5 separate regions of the Mus musculus genome follow, and regions 1, 2, 3 and 4 are each reported to be linked to region 5. Evidence: microRNA targets listed by miRTarBase, many of them from high-throughput screens and not tested one by one. Region 5 holds a microRNA gene; each other region holds the end of a gene's coding sequence. Distances are from middle to middle.
Evidence for each region. The annotated mature microRNA mmu-miR-495-3p reads AAACAAACAUGGUGCACUUCUU and lies in region 5 at 1,838-1,859, opposite strand. An mRNA with a match to its seed (bases 2 to 7 or 8) in the 3' UTR can be bound and repressed. Matches are read on the target gene's strand: a 7mer-m8 pairs with bases 2 to 8, a 7mer-A1 pairs with bases 2 to 7 and ends in A, and an 8mer does both.

Region 1 (4,066 bases), not on the chromosome of region 5:
ACATAATTATTATTTTTGTGCTGAGAATACATAGAATCCACTCAGCATTTTTATTGTGTGTTTAAGATATATTTCTTTTAATTTCATGGCTATGAATATTTACCTGCATGTTTGTAAGTGCACTACGTGAGTTGTGCTTGGAGCTCATGGAGACCAAAAGAAAGCATGGCATTCCTTAGGACTGGAGTCACGCACAGTTGTGAGCCACTTGTGGGCACTGGGAAACAGACCCAGGTCCTCTAGAAGGGTAGGCAGTGCACTTAACCACTGAGCCATCTTCCAGCCTCACCTTTCAGCAATTTTTAATAACTCTAATACATAACATGAACAGTCATCACTGTGCTATACAGTAGATGTCTAGATCATAGTTCTCTCCAGCAGCAATTTTTCTTTTTCTGACTGTCACTCCAAGCCTCTGGTCCTCTGCGTTGCCGCCCTAGCCTCTATATTTTTATGCCTGGTGCTGATAACAGAACTCAAGGCTGCATGCCTGCTAGACAAGCACACTACTGCTGAGCTAAATCAACGAGCCTGATCTTCTTGCCATAAACCTGCTGCTGTAGATCCCCCATAAAAATGAGAACTTGTGGCCTTTATCACTACATACTTGACTCCTTTCTTTTAGCACAGTGCCCTCCAGGTTCATCCATGTCATCACAAATGATAGGATTTCCTTCTTTTATGGCTGAAGGGTATGTATTTATTCGGCCAAGATTAATTTTAAAGGTCATGCTGTGGTTTCTTATGTCCTAAAACACTAATGCCCTTAAGTAAGAAATAATATATTGCTTATATTCTATTTAGCCTTAAGAGTCGGGTCTTGATATAACTGTGAGCACTTGTCACGCGTTCCTAGCCTTGCTTAGGGCATTAGAACACGAACTGGAACAAACTGACCATCAGGAAGACCTAGTGTTCTCTCACATCAGCCAGGCTGAAGCAATACTCACGTATGGAATGGAACGGCAGGAGCGGATGGAGTCGCTGAAACCCATCCACTGCTGGTAGTCAGGGTAGTCCCCGCGACGCAGGAAGTACTGGTAGCCCTGGTAGTTGGGGCGCTCATAGAGCATCCAGCAGCCACTGTCCACACGGATGGAGTTGCAGCGGCTGAAGTAGGTCTGCAGGTTGGGGCAGTCGCTGCTGCACTCATAGCAGCGGCCCTGGAAGCCGCGGTCCTCGTAGAAGGTGATCTGTAAAGGAAGAAACGGTGTAACATCACATGGTCAACTCGAAGGCGCATCCCCCACCCAGAGGGGGCACTCAACAGACTCGGGGAGGGTTCTCCTTTGGCTCACCTTTCCCATCGTTGTTGACAGCAAATGGTCAGTGTTGAGTATGATGGGGACAGGAGTGGCAGCTGATATATATACAGCAGGATGGCTGCTGTGTTGGCAAGAACCACACAAAAGGGGCCTGGGGGGATGTGTAAGGGGATTTCTGTGTCCTCGCGCTTTGTCATTTGGGATCATGGGGTAGGGGGCTCTCGTTCTCTCTGGCATTTTCGAGTTGTCCTCACTATCTCAGTGAAAGGAATTCAAGTCAGCAGAGCCATTATGACCTTGGAGACAAAGGGCGCGCTTCTCACCCTATGCAGCGCGCTCGAAATGCATTATGCACCCAGCATTTTGCAGTGTTTGCCTATAGAAACTGCTGAGGTGGAGGGTGGGGCCTCCATTTGTGGGAGCTCATGAGAAGCACGAGTTCCAGAGGCACTCTCAGGAGCCAAGAGGTAGCAGCAGAAAAACCAATACATTTCTCTAATTGAAAAACACTTGTGTGTCTTTATCTGTAGAATATGGGTTTGATGTTTTTAAAACTTTCACGTGTTTAAGATAAAAAGATTAGACCTGTGTATAGACTAAAATGTCAGCCATGGTCATCAGTGAGTGGTAAGTGTATATGTAGGTCTTCATTTTTTTTTCTTCATTTTTTAAAAAATGGTGTTTGTTTGTTTGTTTTAGAGATTTATTTATTTATTTATAAGTACACTGTAGCTGTCCTCAGATACTCCAGAAGAGGGCATCAGATTTCGTTATGGATGGTTGTGAGCCACCATGCGGTTGCTGGGATTTGAACTCGGGACCTTCAGAAGAGCAGTCGGCGCTCTTAACCACTGAGCCATCTCACCAGCCCCGTAGGTCTTCATTTTATTTCTTTCTTTTGATTTAAAAATTTTTTAATTTTACACACACACACACACACACACACACACATACACACACACACCAAATTCAGTGGATGAAAATAGTAAAATCAATAAATATAATATATATGCTTGGGATGATGATAAAGTGAAACACTTCTTCTTGGTCTAAAATGAAAAGCTCTCTGAAGAATCTGAGGCACACTGTTTAGGAGAAGACAGCCGTTCTTCCTGCCACCCCGCTTCTTCCAGAATTACCTTTTGTTCATAAAACCAGTGCTCTGACTTGTCTGTTTTCCCCCTCACCAAACTGTCGGCTTCCCTGAGCCAGGATGGCAGTCATAACTGACTTGATGTGCTTCTCAATTGCAGGCATGGAGGATGGTCCAGCCTTGGAATGTCTGCTGTCATCCCATTCTGTGCATATTTTAGGTAGTGAAGCCATGTCCATGAGGACACCCAACTAGAGTTAGCAATGCAGGCACAATAGCTGCATGAAAATCCTTAGGCATCACTTACAGGGCATGGACAGACCGTGAAAGGATGGAGAGCAAGAATCGTCTTCTCATAGTTAGCGAGGCTGCGCAGAAGCAGACCATAGCGAGGCTGCGCAGAAGCAGACCATAGCGAGGCTGCGCAGAAGCAGACCATAGAGAAGCGTCGCAGAAGCAGACTGAGCCAAGTCCTCAGTGGCTGGAGCATTGGAAAGGGCTACAGGCCACTGATGTCCTCTTTTGCCTCCATCCTAGTGTTCCAAGTGTCCTGGTGAACTTCAAGTTCAACTGTGATTAAGCCCCAGGCAGAAAGGCCCACATTGATCTCCCCAGCCACCACCCCACGTGGGAGTACCTCATATTTTCAGAAGAGGTCAACAAACTCCCCTGAGTTTGCATGTGGCACCAAGAGCATCGCGCAGAAAGATGGTTGGCCCAGTTGTTAAGAAAGAGGAGACAGTGTGATGTGTTCTGACATTAACCTGATGAAGTTGTTTTGCTAACTGGTTGAGCCATGTGCCTGTTGGCACTTGGCAAAGGCCAGGAAAGAGCAGCATATTTTCTTTCCCCATTGGTCATCGCGTTCTACCCAGAAAGAGCTGACATCCAGTTCTCTTTTCAAACTTTATTGAAGTGGAATGAGTTTACATTTTCTCTGAAAGTTATGCTAATGAGAAATTGGTTTTATTTGGGGTTAAAAACTTTTGGAAAACCACCTCCTTCTCCAGAATTCTATGCTATATTTAATGATACACATTTTCTAAGATGTGTATCAAAGTCAGATTGTCTGGACCCACCCAGAAATAGTGAACCCCCTCTGGATGCTCCAGTAGTCTTCCAGACACAGAATGAAATAGCAGAGGATAGACACATTTCTCCTTTTTGTCAAAATGCAGGTGTGCAATATGCTTCCAAAAGAAGACGGCTCAGTGGCAAACATGATAGTCAATGCAGTTTGCATTAAGAGCTCACTGAAGAAGAAGTGGGTGCTGGTGACAGCTGTAGCTTTAAGGCGAGGCATCCTGGCTGCTCCTAGAAGCTCTTACACGTCCACAGCACTAGTCCACGTTTCTAAGTGACCTGCAGAATGAAAGGATGGCTTTGGTACCAAGCACATCTGTATAACACAGACACATACACCAGCTTTCTATTGGAGTTAAGGTCAAATATCAGACACCAACAGAGAGGGATTAGACTCGTGTAGATGTGAAAGGATTTCCACAGAACGGTTCTGAAATATCTGAAAATGAGTTGTATTTCTCAACTGAAGGCAATATGCGATCTCACATTAAATCCTTATAGGGGACATTATTTTATTTTATTTTTTGAAAATAAAATGCTCTTTGGGTGATAGATTAGATAAAGGTAGCAATGTTTTAGATTCTGACGTTAATAATTGGCTACAAAGTAAAACATACAGGGTGAG
Region 2 (4,066 bases), 3.4 Mb from region 5:
TTTCTATGGTAGGAGCTTCGGGGCTGCAGGGTTGCTGGGAGCACCTGGATCCTGGATTCTGGGAACAGAGCTGCCCTTGGCTCAAGAGCATCTGTACCTTCTCTCACGCAGGTTGGAGGCCTAGGTCAGGGGCCAGAATGGAGCAACTCAAGGAAGGCCCTACAGGAGGCTGTCCAGCAGGAGTTGGCAGCCCTGCAGGGGTCCTGGGAGCAATCCAGTACCCCTGGCCAGCCACAAAGACCCCATCGACTGGTGAGAAGTAAAGATGGGGCACCAAGACCCCAAGGCCTACAGGCAGCCGAGGTGATCAGGACACTGAGCGCCAAGGAGGCCTGTCTGAAGAAGGCGTTGCACCAACTGCAGCGGCAATGTCAGCAGGAGCTAGCCAGGCTGGCTGGTGCTCTGCCTGGCTTGATTTGGATTCTGCCTCCTGAACACTGAAGGCCCTAGGATGTAGCCATCTGTGTAGGATCTCAGAGGCAAGGAGCAGAGAGGTCCAGGCTTGTGTTCCCTCCAGGGCCAGAGCCCTTTCGCCTATGGTTTTGGTGTTACAACAGTCTGGTCCTCCTGAGAGGTTTGGAGGGGACCTATATATACGCGGTAGAGCTGTTCCTGGGGATACCTGGCTGCTGCCCTCTTCCACTGTCCCTTTATCTTCCTCTTTTTGGCACACTGGGATGTGTGTAGCGTACGGTTGGCACCATGCTGTAATCACACATGCCCCAAAGTACAGGAAGTATTGGGCCTCCCTGAGTGGAACAGCTCTGGTTGTTTCCCTGAACCTCTTTCTTAGACTCTGGCTCTATGCCTCCTGCAGCAGAGCTCCCTCCTGTACTGGGCCACGGATGCGCCTGATGTGTGTGTGTGGTGGGAAGCTGGATGGGAGCCTGGGGGCTCTGCCTGGGAGACCGGAGGAGAGGAAGCTGCGGTGCAGACAGAAGGCTTTTGTTCTGAAGGCTGCTGGGCAAGCTCGGCGCTCACAAAGCAGCCTGTGTCCGGGACGTGCGTACAGCCTGGTGGGATAGTTCTGTCCTAACCCAGTCTTTCCCAGCCAGCAGGCTCAAGCGGGTTCCATGGTCTCTAGCCCTACCTTCCTTCCAATCCCCAGCTCCAAACACTGACCAGGCACTGGACAGCCGGTAGGACCCACCAGGCAGCCTCTGTCTCTTGCTTATCTAGGCCAGAAGCCACTACGTGACTCGGAGCCTTGAACACTAAAACATTCTTTCATGGGGGTTTCCTGCTTGTCTGGTGGTGTGTGCTGGAGTGACAGCTCATGTCTGGGTACAGGTGGCCTGTGGCCCTGAGGCAGGACACCATATGGTTAGCTACAGTGAATGTTCCTAGCCCACTTCTGGATGGCCAGTGTCTAATAGGTCCTTCCTAACTTTTACGGACATAGCTCCTAGAATCTCTGGAACCTCCTGCCTGCCGCTGGGCCTCTGCTGGACCTCCTGGCCCGCAGCCCCTGTTCCTGCTTGCGAACACTTGTTCAGCTCTTCTTGCTGCTTCCACCAGTGGGTTCCGGCTCTGGTCCAGGGCATGTGGGAACTTGACTGTCTGGCTCCTCATGACTGTGATGTGGTCTATAAACAAATCTACTTAAGCTCGCTGTCTCTGAAAACTGCCCTGCTCTAGGACTTCCAGTGGTCCTCTGGAACTCACCCTTAAAAATCCAAAGCGGATTCAGAGCTCTCGCTTCTCCATCTGCTCTGCAGAGTTAGTGCAATTCCTGTCAGAATCCTCTGTGTGTGTGTGTGTGTGTGTGTGTGTGTGTGTGTGTGTGTGTGTGTGTGTGTGTGTGTGTGTTTGTTTGTGTCTGTCTGTCTCAGGCCATGAGAAGGCAAGAGCCTGTAGGGGTAGGGGGCTTAGCCATGGGACTCATCCTTGGTCAAGTTGTCACCTGGGAAGGACCTCAGAACTAGCTTTTCCACACAAGGGCTTGAAATAGCCCACGTTTGTGGTCTCAGTGCTCTGTGTCCTCAGCTCCCATACTTGGGAGCCACACAGTCAAGTAGGAATAAAATGTAGTGTCAGTTGGCCACAATGTCCCTGGCAGATCCTGACGTCCTGGGGCAAGTTCACAGGTTGATGACCGTGCTGCTCCAGGGTCCTGCAGCATAACAGATCAGGCATTAGGGACCACCATCAACCCTATCCTCCCTGCCTCTGAGGAAGACCACGTTGTCCGCCAGGACTCCCAACCTGATCCTAAGGTCCGCAGCATCTTTAATACTTGTCACGAGAACTGAAGCTCTGGCCACCCACGGGTACATTTGAGGCCAGCAGGTGGACAGTGGGGCCATGCTCTCGAACCAGTGAGGACATGGAGTTTGTTCCTTGGGTTCCCACCCAAGGCAGACACCTCCTTGCTTGAGGTAGTGGGGAATACCAGAGGTGGATTCCTGACACCGGAATGTGCTGACTGGAAGGGAAGTTTAGTAATTCCAACTCTTGTCAAAACTAGAAACTTCTGTTTAAAAGTCGACATTAATAAGATGTGTCTCAATGGCGGAACGCTTGAGTGTCTTATGTGAAATTGGATTTCATCTCCATCTTGGTTTGAGGTGGTGGTGGCGGTGGAAACAGTTTGGGCTGGGAGTGTCAGTTACGTTTGCAAATGGTTCGGTGTGCAACAGGACATCAGTCATGGAAGGGTTGCTGTGCAAGGCAGGAACTGAGATCGGTAAGTAGTCATCTTCATGGCTGCCGGTTGAATGGGAAGGGGGTGCCAGTTACAGGCCGGAAGGTGTGCTGAGAAACGGCTTTGGGTGGGGGAAGGAACCAACGCAGTGGATGGGGAGAACCACTTCTAGGCCTATCCCAGAGAATTAGTTGTACATGCACAGGCCTGGATGGGACTGCCCGGGAGCTATATAACTACAGAAACCAGAAATACCCACGATGTTAAGAGACGCCAAAGGATGCTGCAGTCCTGAGTGTAAAAATTCAGTAATCTTGAATCTGGGTGAGGTGGCGCACACCTTTAGTTCCAGCACTTAGGAGGCAGAAGAGGCAGGCAGGTCTACAAAGTGAGTTCTAGGACAGCCAAGGCAGTTGCACAGAGAAACCCTGTCTTAAAAAGCAAAATCAAAAAACAGCTTTAAAAAAGCAGTATGATATTTAACGAGGCCATAATAATAAACAGTTTTGTTTATTATAATAAAGCAGTGCAGAGGGTGCACCTAGCACCGAAAGAGAACCCAGTTAATCGGCCAGAAAAAGACTGGCACAATAATCTCATTCATGGAATGTGCTAGAACAAGGGTAGGTGTGGGTGTTCTCCCCATCCCATGAAGATGCTGTAAGAAGCTTCGCCCTTCATATAACACGGGTGGGTGGGTCAGCCCCGGGTAACGGGTCAGCCTGCAGCCCTCCTGCATACTTGTGTAGACACTGAGAGCATCCTCTGTAATTCCAAGACCTAGTGCTGGCCTGCAGTCTCTCCCCCATCACTTTCCACCTCCACTCTGCCATCTTCACTGCTGCCACTGGGCCGAGTGCAGCACCTGGGGCATCTCCGATGTCTCCCAGTTGACTGGAGAAAGCTGAGCAGCCTGGTTGTATAGCCAGGAGGGGATGTACGGGTGTACGACATGTTTGTTAATGGAGGATTCTGTTTACACAAATGGGCCCAGCTCCCATTTCTCTCAGCACTGGCTTCTTGCTGAGGTACTGAGGAGGCAGCCCTCTTCACACTCAGAGTGAGAAAGAGTTTGAGGGTCATACCTGGGATGGTGCCTTTCAAGACTGCCGGGGTCGTCCTGCAGAGTAGCGGGGACTCAGGCAAGGCCTCTTGGGTTAGGTGTCCAGTTACGGTGGCATATTCCCAGTGAAGTGTCTAAAACAGCCAGCTACTTTGAGAGCAGTGCCACCAGCTTTGAGAGAAAGGACTGCCTGGCAGACAGGTCCCTGCTTGAGGCTGCCAGCCCTCCAGGAAGGGTCTTCCTGCCACTCAAAGGCCTGTGGCCTACACCTGCTGCTATTTTGCTCATCTGCACAAAACAAAATGTTGGGTGTTTACAGTTCAACACAAAATGGACGCTCATCAGCTTTTAACCATGCT
Region 3 (4,066 bases), not on the chromosome of region 5:
TGTAGAAAATAGGTCTCTTTAAACAAAACCAAGGGCGAAAGGCATTATTCTGAAATACGTCAAATAGAATGAAGAGGGTTTCAGTGAATATTTTATTACTGAAAGAAGATATACCAGTTGTGACTTTTTTTTTTTAATTATCAGCTTCTGCTGTCTACCTCTCAGGAGTGGCCCTATTTACCACCTTCCAAACATGTGACACAATTGGGCCCAGTATATAAATTTTGTGCATCAGGAAAAACAGCAAACTCAAGAAATTAGATTTGGTAGTGACTTAAATCATGTTTTATCATTTAATTCCCATTTGAAAATTAACTCTGATGATATTCGAGAATACAGCTCATTTAGGGCTTAAAATCAGTGACCCAAGTTTCTGAAGAAACTTGCCCATGTTCTCCTTAGGATGCTTACCAAAGAAACCTGAATCTGAAAACTGACAGGTTCACATTGTGTCCCTCCATGACAATTTCAGACAGACCAAAGAAATGGCAATATTCACCCTTAAAATCACTTGTCCACAGACTTAAAGTAGCCAGCTAGCTAAGTAATTCATAACGAGAGCTCTTCTGCAAACTGAAACACTTCAACTAAATAGAATCTTTAATGGACACACTCTACAAACTTCTAATTCAGAGAGAGATTGTGTGTGTGTGGGGGGGGGGGTAGTGAGGGGTGGCATGCCTAGGTAGGCAGATCTCCGAGTCCTTGCCTCACAAAATAAGAAAAGAAAAATAATCCGAACGTGTTTTCTATTCCAATGAAAGTTTTTTTTACTCATACCTGTTAAGTTATGCATGGTGCAGGGAATATGGACAAACAAGCAGATCTCGTTAAAGAGTAGACTTCTTTTACACTCCCTACTACTTTTTCTCTGGATGGTTCTGCCATTTTTTAGATTAGCTATTTCTGGATCTGCTAAAGTCACATGTGAGACCCACTGCTTGTAATTTTCCATGAAGATTTCATAGGGTCTTTTCACTAAAAAGACTGACTTGGCTATAATGTTCCAAATAACCAATGGTTCACTTTAAGCTTTTATTCTTTTTTCTTCCTAGATTTTCCTTCACTATATAACCTTGGGTGGCCTGGAGCTTATGCAGAACAGGCTGGCCTCAGAGATCTTCCTGCCTCTGCCTCCCAAGTGCTGATATTAAAGGAGTGCACCACCACACCCAACCTTTACATTTATTCTTTATCATCATGCTACCAAGAATCAGATATAACCATATGGTACCCAATCACAAAAGTGTATGCTAGAACTCCTTGGTATATCATACACTCGCTAGGGTATTATTAATAGAAGAACCACCTTAAGATTAATATTCTAGCTTCCTTTTCCAATTTGACATTTCTAACCTCATTAGACAAATTTCATTCAAATGGTAAAAGTTCTTTCAGAGGTAGGGAAAACATAAACACACTCTGTGGTTCTTATAGGAATGTTTCTATAGAAATCATGACTCAGCAGCCACCATTTGTCATAGGCTCTATAAGGAAACGCACAGCCTCATTGGAAAAACCCAGCATGCATAGTTTGTGAATGAGTGGCATCGTCTATCTTACTACAGTGTATGATATAAAAATGTTAAACCCTAAGAAGGATATGTGTCTTGTTCACACAGGGAAAGATTGGAGGGGACAGGGGAGGAAACCATTGCACTTACGATGAAACACTGATTAAAAAAAGGGAACACCCACATTGTAGATAATGAAGCTATAACTAAAGCCTCGTTCATAAATCCATTCTGCCTTAATGTATGTTCTGTGACAATCTGCAACTCCTTTAGCTTTGTTGACACTACAGAGAGCAAAGGTATGTTGATTCTGTCTCTTGAAATACAGGGTAATAAGCAAGGCAATGTCTGGAAAAACACCCCAAAACACTTTAATTTTTAAGACAAGTGCAAGCACCCCAAACAAAGGATTATTGTTACAACACTTGTTAGCTTTTCACAATCTAATTATTGCAAAGGCATATGAATAAATGTTAATGGACAAAGTCAAGAAAAACGAGGCACCTTAATGAATAAAAATTTTTAAAAAAAAGACATTCAACCCACTGACTTCTAAAAGAGGCTAAATACACCTCCTATGTTACATTCTAAAATAGTATTGCCTACTAATGGTTTGTATCCTGGATTCTACAGTTAATTTTAAGGAAATGCATAAACTAAAACTGTATGCGGTCTGCAAAGGGGAAATGGCCTTCTCATTCATGGGAGGTAAGGAAAAGGCGAGGGAAGGGAAGCTGCCTAGGACGGCATGGGCACGGTCGCTGTTACCTTGAAGCTGTGAGGAGTGCTCGGTCCACTGCGTTGCAAACTGTCTAAGCCACGCCTTGTGTTTTAAACAAACACGATCATGCTTTTCAAAAAATATTTTTTTCATTCCACACACTGAACATATTTCTCTTGTCCAATTTAATCTACGTATTTAACTTACAGTGCTGGTGAGAGGTGACACTACCGGGGATTGGGCCATCACATTTTAAGTGGAAATGACTGATACTTTAAACATAGCTTAAAAATATGCAAAATACAAATGGAACTGCTAGATTATAGTGTCAAATTTTTAAAGTTTTTCTCTCTTTAAAGTGCCACAGAGGGCATGGCACCTCGTCCAGAACCACTTGGGTTGTTATGGAATGAAAAGTTTGTGCAACTTTCTGAAGCAGTGGAAATCTGCAACATGCAATGTAGGCCAAAAAGCGCTCAGGACTGGGTAGCTTTTCTGAATGTGAATCCTCATCCCCTATTTATGCAAAGTAATAGTTACATACACTAGTATAATACAGGAATGATTTCCCTTTGCCAGACGATAAAATTGTACATTTCCTTGCTCTTTCTTGGTTCCAACTGATAATTTCTTAAGATTGTAAATTATATAATACTCAGCTAAAATATGTCTTCATAAATAGTTACAGAACCTGCCAAAACACAAAAGGGAAAGTATTTTTCGTTCAAAAAAAAAAAAAGACATTTGAATGTCACACAACACAAGAAACAATGCTTAGAGACATGTTATTGTTTCCAGAAGAAAATGGCCAGTAAACTACTTAGCTGAAGACAAAGACCAGCCTTCCCCAGGACCATGGTGCACAGGAAGCAAAGTGTCAAACAACAGTACCTCAAAGCACTACAAAGGTCTGAGGGTGGAGCCAGCTCACTGGTAATCCTGTTAAAGAATGAGAGCCACTGTGTAGGTCCAATGTACTGGGAGAAATTTGCTAGCTCAGAATGCTATATTTGTAGAATCTGCTAAGAATTCAACCAAGGATGTCGAAGGCATTCGCCAGCTGAGGCTCGTTTTTCTGGAACCATCTCTAACATTGGGATCAGGAAATCTGTAAATTGTGCAGCATCTTCATGGGGCCAGCCATACTTTTCCACAAGTACATCAAAGAGGCTCCAGGGCTTCAGCTTGGTGATGTGCCGCAGTTCTCCTGGAGAGAGAGAAGTACAGCATCAGAGACGCTCCACGAGTGCACATCTCAGGATGACCTGAGCCAGACAGGCTTCTTCTCACTGCAGCAGACATTTTACCTCTCAAACCATTGGCTACAACAAAGAACGCTAGCTTTTCTCCCCTAAGCAAGTCTCATTGAAGAGCTAAGGGTCAAGTCGAAGCACGCTAGGTGAGTGTAAATGGGTTACGTCTGAACAAATAAATCAGCTCTGTGCTTCTTGAGCTGCAAAAGCACTGAGAGTGTCTGCTTCCCACTGGAGAGCTGCTCACACTCCAGCTTCGTGGTGCCGCCGCCATCTGTAAACTGGCTTAGGATACCTGGATGATGCAGGCTATTTGAAGTTGTTGCTGTGTTTTCACATGTGCTTCTACCTCAATGCAAATCTAACTTTTTCTGATGGTGCACATGTCCTTTTGAACTGTGCTGTCCACTGGCTCCACAGGGCTAACAGGCACACGGTTAGTACACCTACAGAGCATAGGAACTCTACTTTGTCTAAATTTAAGAAATAGCCTCAAGCAGCTACTAGCAACCCAAAACAACGAATTTTTATCTCTATTCATTTATAGTAAAATATGACCTCAAGGACAGTTTTTTATA
Region 4 (4,066 bases), not on the chromosome of region 5:
ACCTGTCACAGTACTTCAGCCCAGCCTCAGTGTCCAACAGCCCCACCCGGGCCCTGGTGCTGGTTGGTGTGGTTCTCCTGGCCTACTGGTTCTTGTCTCTGACCTTGGGCTTCACCTTCAGCCTCCTCCACCTGGTGTTTGGCCGCTTCTTCTGGCTCGTGCGTGTCATCCTGTTCTCCATGTCCTGCGTGTATATCCTACATAAGTACGAGGGCGAGCCAGAGCACGCAGTGCTACCGCTCTGCGTCGTGGTGGCCATCTACTTCATGACGGGGCCCATGGGCTACTGGCGGGGCAGCCCCGGTGGCCTTTGCAGCCCCAGTGTGGAGGAGAAGCTGGAACACCTGGAGAACCAGGTGAGGTTGCTTAACATCCGCCTCAACAGGGTGCTCGAGAACCTTGACCGCTCCAAGGACAAGTGAAGGTCAGCTGCCTAGCCGTCCAACCAGCTAGTGATGTCAAAAGACAGAAGAAGAAGAGAAGAGCCGGCAACCCCACCAAATCCCAACCCTCCCAATAAACTGAGCAAAAACGCCACGCCTGGTATTTCCCACTGTGTGTCGACCTTAGGAGCCACTGGAGGAGAGAGCACTTTCGTAGATCACCAGTGGGAAAGCAGTTTTTAAACAACGGATATACCCCCTGTTAGCTGTGTAGTCGGATAACTTTACCTGTGCATAGAACATAATGTTGATTTTTCTTCCCAAACATTTAAATACATCTTTTGTAAGGTTTTTAAATAAAGGCAGATGGAGTCAAGTTTATCAGAGCTTTGAAGGGAACGCTTGACGTCCTTAAGGAGGTTAAAATTGGCTTGTGGGTGAGCACCGTGTGCAATCTCTTCGTCTTCCCGAATGTGACCTTTATTTCGTGTCTTCTGGGGTTGGTGGTGACCTGGTTAACAAGTGCTGTCTCTTGTTCTTGTGGACACTTGGGCTTCAGAGGATTGGATCCTAGGGATCCTGTGAGCTCTTCGTCCATTGTGCCCCTCCATGTCTATTTCTGTTTTGTATGGTGCTGGGGATACTGAGCCCACCCCCCCACCCTTGTCCATTGTATTTCTGAATGAAGGTACCCACAGACGTCCCGAGATCTCTTTCTCTTCTCTGGACTTCAATGTAGATTAACCCTAGCCTTTCCAGGAAGAAAGGACATGGATGGAGCTGCAAACTGTCTTTGGAGTTTGATGCTAAGAACCGGGTAGGCCCCGAAGATCATTCCAGAATCCAGCTGAATCTCACATTCCCTGTTGGCCAGCGAGGCCCAGATAGCCGGCTGGACCCTCATGGGAATCACTTGTTTCCTTTGCTTCTAATTGACTCGGGACCATAGAAGAAAAAGGAACCGTTCACGGCCAGTAACATCCTTTATTTCATTCCTTCTAGAACATTCGTAGGCATAAGCAACCTTGAGATCTGAATCGTTTGTCCTGAAATTTTTATAATTGTGTTAGGTGCTTTTTAAAGTCTGGGGTCCAGGGCATTGCTTGTTAATAGCTAAACCCCTGGGTGCAGAGACCTCTCTGCCAGCTTCTGTGGAAAGAGAGCTGGCTTTTGTGGGATGTCACTAGGGTCGCCCGTGAGGACTGTGGAGCCACTGAGTCCCAACTTGAGCTTGGAGGGGGACCCAGCTGATGGCAGCTCTGGTGCCGTATGTCTGTGAAGTTCTGTCTTTGGTTACAGGTATCTGTCACACAGATTTGGGTCTTTGAGGATGTGGCCGAGAGAGACCTCTGTTCTCGAGGTGACAGGCAGTATGGGACTCTCATTTTCTTGAATTTCATTCCCTTCTGGAACCGGTACTGGGGAAATCTCTCCACAGACATTGGAAATCCACAACTTGTGATGTGAAACATTCCGATTTTGTTGTTTAGATGCTCTAGGCATATCTACTCGCGGCACAGGGTGGAAGTAGCCGAGAAGGGGCACCTTGGCTGTTAATATCTTTCCTTCCAGATGTCTGGTCATATCATACTAAAAGATTACTTTTCAGATGTTGGCTAGGGGGCAGTCACTCTCTGTAAAGCTAAACCTTCTTGCCTTGGCTCCTCTCAGTGGCCACTTGAGATGTTGTAGGTCGATTCCTATACAGTCCACTGTAGCTAAGACTGCAACTCCACCCAGTATTCAGGAGGCAGAGGCAGGAGGATTGCTGCTATTTGAAGGCCAGCCAGGTCTTAAGTGGTCTATTTCAGGTCAGCCAGGGTTACATAGCGAGACCAAAAGCCAGGTATGGTAGCACAAGAGAGCAGAGGCAGGCACATCGGAGTTTAAAGCCAGTCTGGTCTATGTAGTGAGTTCCAGGACAGGCAGTTTTAATACACTGAGACCTTGTCTCAAAACAATAGCAACAAAAAAGGTAAAAATCTGCAATATTTTTTTCCAGTCTGACCAAATGTAGACTCTAAAGCCAGTTTTATAGTTGAATATATATAATGTGTATATACATATATATGCTATATATATTCATGTATTATTTGTATATATACACTATATATATACATACACAAGATGCCTTCATTTTAATTTTTACATCTAGTTATTATGATTTTTTGAGACAGGGTCTCATGTATTTAAGACTGGCCTTGAACTTGCTAAGTAGCTGAGACTGGCCTTAAACTCTCCTGCCCCCAGCCCGAGTGCAGGAATGATGTGCACATGTGACTACGCCCCCATTGTTCGAACGCCTTGGGGTGAACGCGGCCTATGCATGTTAAGAGAGCACTCAAGAGTCCAGTCCTGGATACCTTCATTCTTAGTGGAAGAATGTACAAATCAGAGTAGAATGTTACTTGAAATTCTAGTAGTTTTTTTGTTTTTAAAAACTTCAACCGGGCGTGGTGGCGCACGCCTTTAATCCCAGCACTCTGGAGGCAGAGGCAGGCGGATTTCTGAGTTCGAGGCCAGCCTGGTCTACAGAGTGAGTTCCAGGACAGCCAGGGCTACACAGAGAAACCCTGTCTCGAAAATCAAAAAAACAAAAAACAAAAAAAAATAAAACAAAACAAAACAAAAAAACTTCAGATGGTGTTACTGTGTTTGATGCATATATTTTAGCTTGTTTGTTTGTTTGTTTGTTTGTTTGTTTTTCTTTTTGAGGCAGGGTCTCTCTACATAGCCCTGGCTGTCCTGCAACTCTCTGTGTAAACCAGGCTGCCCTCTAACTTGCAGAGATCCACCTGCCTCTGATTGCTGGTATTAAAGGTGTTGCACCACCATGCCTGGCATTGTTTGGAAGTAATCATAGCCCCCAGTAGTTAAAGATTTTTTTCTTTTCTTCTTTCATTCCGTGGACAGCTTATTGGCCTCCCTTCCCTTCCCCCTCCCCCTATCTCTTTTGTATGTGGAAAGATGTATTTTTGTACCTTATTTCATGCCTTATCTTCAGGGCTGTGTACAACTCCTCCTTAACCGAATAACATGATAAACATTTGGACAGCAGCCACTGTGGATCTATTATAGATAAGGGGCGGGGCAGGCGATATGGCTCAATGAAGAAAGGCACTTGCCACCAAACCTGAGTTTGATTCCCGGGACCAACATGGTGAAAAAAGACAGACCACTCCCACAGGTTTCCTTCTAACCTCTACGCATGGGCTGTGGCTTCCCACCCCTTGGCCCCAATAAATACATATATACTTTTTTTTTTTTAAATGAAAAGATAGTGTAAGGATTATAACTGTCTCAAAGTCAGTATTAACTCCCTGGTGGTCGTCTCTCATATTAGGTACTTGCTTTACCGAGGACAGGACTGGTTGCCTCTGAAGTGTACTGACTGGGCTTAGCTTAGGGTATTGGGGTTGGTGATTTTTGATGGTGGTGTTTTATTTTGAATTATTTTATGTATATGGGTGGTTTTTTTTTTGTTTTTGTTTTTTTTGTTTTTGTCACACTTGTATGTCTGTGTACCACGTATTTGCCTGGTGCCTGCAGAGAGGAGAAGAGGGTGTCAGATCGCCCTGGAATTAGTGATAACTGTCAGCTGCCTTGTGGATGCTGAAAAAGTCAAACCCAGGTTGTTTGGAAGAACAGCCGGTGTGCTCTAACCACTGAGCAGCCTCTCTGGC
Region 5 (4,066 bases):
GGAAATTGGATTATAGGATGATTCATTCAATAAACTCTCAAGTCTCAAAATAAGAAAATAAATAAACAAAAGCACTTGCCATCTGGCCAGACATCTGCTCACATACCATCAGCAAGGGGCTGATGCCCACATCGTGTTCCTGAACCTGACACCGGGTACAGAGAGCCCTTCAAGGAGGGATTTTGTGCTCAAAAAGAGGTCAGCGTTTAATATCTTCCACGAACAAACACCATGATGTGGACACTGTCCCTTGGGGCCTCTTGGAACAGCTGCGGCAATCCTGCCCAGGCTTCTCCTGTGAAAAAGACAGCTGGTGAGGTATTGTGCCCAGAGAATATTCTACCCTCAAAGATGGAAGGCTCCCTCTGGGCCTATACGTACCTGGGATGTAGGGGTGAATAGCAGCCCTTAGAAGCCTGCCAATAAAGCACAAAGCTAAATGTGAAATGGAACTGAACAAGTCCGGTTACCTTGGGATGACCACCAGAGGCATTTCTGTCCAGGTGTCCTTTGCATTCCTTGGATGAATCCAAGACAAACTCCCCTCCAGAAGTTTGTGGGCCTAGGGGCCTTGGGCTGGGTGGCAGGTGTCACAGATATAATGTATGGCGTGCTCACTGCTCCACCAGCACCGAGGCCAGTACCCACTAGATGGAAAGGGATTTTCAACCTAAGAAAATGGGTTGACCATGCTTGTTCCATGCCCCTTAGCCTTTCTCCATGGGTATAAAGGGAGAGTTGCTGCTTTTCCAAAGGTGTTTCCATCTTTTATAGGCAGAAGCCAAAACACAGGTACAGCCACAGCCCAAGGGCATCACTGAGCCAGTAGAAACTAAGAGCTAAGTGTGTGGCTAATCCTGGTACCTCTTAGATGGAGTTTGCACTGGGTTTTGATGCGCTATGGTTGTTGAGCCACGTAAGTATAAACAAAGCTTTTATTCCAACTTGAGCAAAGAAAGAAATAGCTAGTATCCTAGCAAAGGGTTGCCTAAGAGTGATCCCATATCTTGTACTGGCTCAGCTTCGGAAACCCTCCAGGGGAGATGGATGGATGAGGTGTTCTCATACTCTCTGGATTGTATCCTCCCTCCCACTCTCACAAGAGAGCCACCAAAGGGCCCTGCTCAAACAACCACACTCAAAGGCAATTTTGATGCCATGAGGAGGCTACCAGAGAATGTTAGCCATAAAGAGAAGTTCACTAGGGAAAAGGGGTCTGAAGTGCCGCCTTACATCTACCACTCCAGAGGGCAGGGGTACCAGTATCAGAGATAAGAGACAGGCAGCAGTGGCTGATGACAGCTTGCTGTTCCCTGGTCCCAATCGTAGCCAGCACCCACCAGTCCTCAAGGCCTTGCTAATGGCATCAAAGAGCACAGCCCGTAGACATGGCAGGATGCTGGTAAAGAGCTGATCTGGGGCCCAGGCTTTTCTAGAGTCATAGTGTTATGTGACACTCACCAACTGACATATCTTGGTAAAGACACCTGCAGCTGACATCTAGACACATGTCTCCAGAAGGAATTGGTGGTTTGGCTTGTATTGGCTGTTTGATTAAATTGCTATTGTTTGGATTTTATAATTTTCTGGGCTTCTCTTATCTGAACTCCATCCTACAACAGAGCCTAAAAGTGCGCTTCCTGGTTTCCCTTACTGACTGTGCCTGTCCCAGGAGGTGGGCATTCTGGACCTAACAATGCACAGAGCCAAGAGGGGCAGGTGAAATTGTGCTTCTTTGAGGTAAATGCCCCTGTGCACATGGTGACCCAAACCCCCTGGCCTCCCGTCCTCCCTCTGGTCCATGGGGAGCTCTCCAAGGTGAGATTTGATATCGAAAAAGAAGTGCACCATGTTTGTTTCGTCACAAATAAAAGCGAAAAATAACATGGGCAACTTCTTTTCAGGTACCACGGCTGAGCTCTTGCTTGTTCCAGCAGTGTGCCTGAGTGTGAAGGGATGCTGAGGGACAGGCGGAAGGAAGGGATGGTGGGTGAGGCAGATACTTGGCCGGGAGGGGGACAGGGATGGGGGTCCTGAGGCAAGGGGAGTGGCTCAGTACTCATCACTGCCATAGCAATCCAGCCCAAACCCCCTCTACCTCAGGATCTCAGGAAGACCTGGGACGAAGACTGAAGATTCTGAGATGTTGCCTACCATCCTTGCCAGTCATTCTGAAGTGTCACTCGGGGGAAATGGGATGGTGCCAAACTCCAAGACAGAATCTCCTCTCTCAGTTCCAGGATCCTCTTCTGAAGCTGAGAAAAAAAAAAAAAGTCAAAGAACTAGGTGGCAAAATCCAGGGCAGCCTAAACCAGCTGTGTGAGTGCCTGGATGATGCCCTCTGAGGTCCCCCCTCTCCCGCACCCAGAAGTGACTTACGATGTAGACAAATACAACAAAGAGCTCACAGGGTACTGGGAAGCAGAAGAACAGGTTGAAATGGGAGGCTCCAGGATTCTGAGCGTGTGAGATGTCTGGGGATGCAATGTCCGTTCATCATCTTGCGGCTGTCCTGAACGGGACATATGACCGACCCTTCCCTGAAAACAAAACGCATTGATTAGTGTGTGTTACCGTTACTGGAAGGTTACAACACTACAGCAATATATCTGAACCACAAAGGAAAGTGACTTGGTACCAACTACCTACCTTAGACTGGACAATGGGAATAATGAGCAAGAGAACATACCATCCAAAGAATGCCAGTTACACTCATTGACAGGCCACTCAACAAGGAGCCATCCATTCCTCTCATAGTAAGGAAAGGCCCACCTCAAGCTGACTTACACACAAAGGAGGCATCCAGGCTAATATAACTTAAAGGTACAGTGACGTGTTGAGCTTCAAGGAGTGTCGGATGCAGGTCCCAGATTGTACTGTTACTCAAATGTCCCATGGTTCCTCTGGGACAGGCACTTCCCCCTCTGTCTAAACAGCCCTGGGTACTGTCCTCTTGAATTCTAGCTGGCCTTCAAACTCAGGGAACAGTGAGATCCACTCAGACATCTCTCACAGAAATGAAGACTCATTCCCCTCCCAGAAGTCTCAGCAAACATCTCCCTGTGGGCTAAGGTCTCATCTAGGAATCAATAATGTCTGGTCAACTGGTTCCTTTGACACTGTGTTGTGGAGGAGGGAGGAGGGAGCAGGAGCCAACCAACCCAAACCCATTCTCATTAAGAAAGGTCAGAGGACCATTCAAGAAGGGAGATAAACTCACACAACCCAGGCTCACTACATAGACTACTTTCCTAGACTAACATGGCTTCCCTGAAGTCAGTAAGTAGTTGAACCCCCGAAGTCTTCAACGTAGAATAGGATGCTGAAAAAGAAGTGCACCGCGAATGTTTCGTCACATATAAAGCGAAAAACACGCGGGCAACTTCTCATTAAGCACCGTACGTCAGCAGCATGGAACCCTGTGTACCACTTGTGTACCGCTGTCGTCACTTCCTGTGGCTTGAGTACCGCTGTCGTCACTTCCTGTGCGTGAGCAGGCGATCACGCTGCAGCCCCGCTGTACCTAGGGGGCTCTCACAGCTGTGCCCGCTCCACGCAGGCAGAATCAGGATCTTGTAGACAGGCTTTGGATTGGTCATCCTTTGGGGAGGTCTTTGGAGTCTCCTCAAACATCAGAGAATGATATAATAATCCTGACTTTGCTTCCCAAAGTCCAGCTCTGGATCCGTGACAAGAGAGGAGGTGGGTCCCGTGACCTCTCAGTCGAGGTCACCACCCATCTGCTAGAGGGGAGGACATCAACCTATGTTCCACGGTGGAGGCCCTGATGCAAGGAGGTTATCATGAAATGGGAAACAAAAAGATATCTGAGCCTTTGTCAGAACGAGACAATGTCTCCTGGACAAAAATATATGTAAGTGGCATGTGGTGTTCTGAGAACAGATTCTGTTGACCCTCCACTTGCTGGGAAATGGAACATTGAGATTAAAAAAAAAAAAGAACATGAATAAAGATAGACTTCTTAGGTGTTCCAGGTAGATAGTTGGTTGCCTATGCTTGTACACATGTTCTCTCCCTCATGACATGGCTACAGGGCACCTCCCCA

Region 1: the mRNA of D630023F18Rik is a reported target of mmu-miR-495-3p. The part of its 3' UTR that is shown has no 7-base or 8-base seed match.
Region 2: miRTarBase lists Tedc1 as a target of mmu-miR-495-3p. Seed matches in the 3' UTR shown: 7mer-m8 at 1,808-1,814 and 7mer-m8 at 2,332-2,338.
Region 3: miRTarBase lists Srpk2 as a target of mmu-miR-495-3p. Seed matches in the 3' UTR shown: 7mer-m8 at 2,349-2,355.
Region 4: the mRNA of Bri3bp is a reported target of mmu-miR-495-3p. Seed matches in the 3' UTR shown: 7mer-m8 at 3,060-3,066, 7mer-m8 at 3,064-3,070, 7mer-m8 at 3,068-3,074, 7mer-m8 at 3,072-3,078, 7mer-m8 at 3,076-3,082 and 7mer-m8 at 3,080-3,086.

The regions. Positions count from the first base shown.
Region 1 is chr1:65,102,031-65,106,096 of GRCm38, forward strand. It overlaps D630023F18Rik (RIKEN cDNA D630023F18 gene), which reads right to left. Exons shown (of 8, transcript NM_001285882.1): 8 at 3,255-3,720. The coding sequence ends at 3,699. Cryga (crystallin, gamma A) reads right to left here and starts at 1,333. Exons shown (of 3, transcript NM_007774.3): 1 at 1,299-1,333; 2 at 951-1,193. The coding sequence starts at 1,307.
Region 2 is chr12:113,162,942-113,167,007 of GRCm38, forward strand. It overlaps Tedc1 (tubulin epsilon and delta complex 1), which reads left to right. Exons shown (of 8, transcript NM_134041.3): 8 at 112-2,517. The coding sequence ends at 441. Among named protein-coding and RNA genes, the nearest start is that of Tedc1, 8.6 kb to the left of the region's middle.
Region 3 is chr5:23,504,279-23,508,344 of GRCm38, forward strand. It overlaps Srpk2 (serine/arginine-rich protein specific kinase 2), which reads right to left. Exons shown (of 16, transcript NM_001359173.1): 16 at 1-3,442. The coding sequence ends at 3,258. Among named protein-coding and RNA genes, the nearest start is that of Kmt2e, 72 kb to the left of the region's middle.
Region 4 is chr5:125,454,332-125,458,397 of GRCm38, forward strand. It overlaps Bri3bp (Bri3 binding protein), which reads left to right. Exons shown (of 3, transcript NM_029752.2): 3 at 1-4,066. The coding sequence ends at 422. Among named protein-coding and RNA genes, the nearest start is that of Gm40325, 8.2 kb to the right of the region's middle.
Region 5 is chr12:109,716,588-109,720,653 of GRCm38, reverse strand. It overlaps Mir495 (microRNA 495), which reads right to left and starts at 1,900; the gene lies at 1,838-1,900. It overlaps Mir666 (microRNA 666), which reads right to left and starts at 3,569; the gene lies at 3,471-3,569. It overlaps Mir543 (microRNA 543), which reads right to left and starts at 3,396; the gene lies at 3,321-3,396. Mir667 (microRNA 667) reads right to left here and starts at 648; the gene lies at 557-648.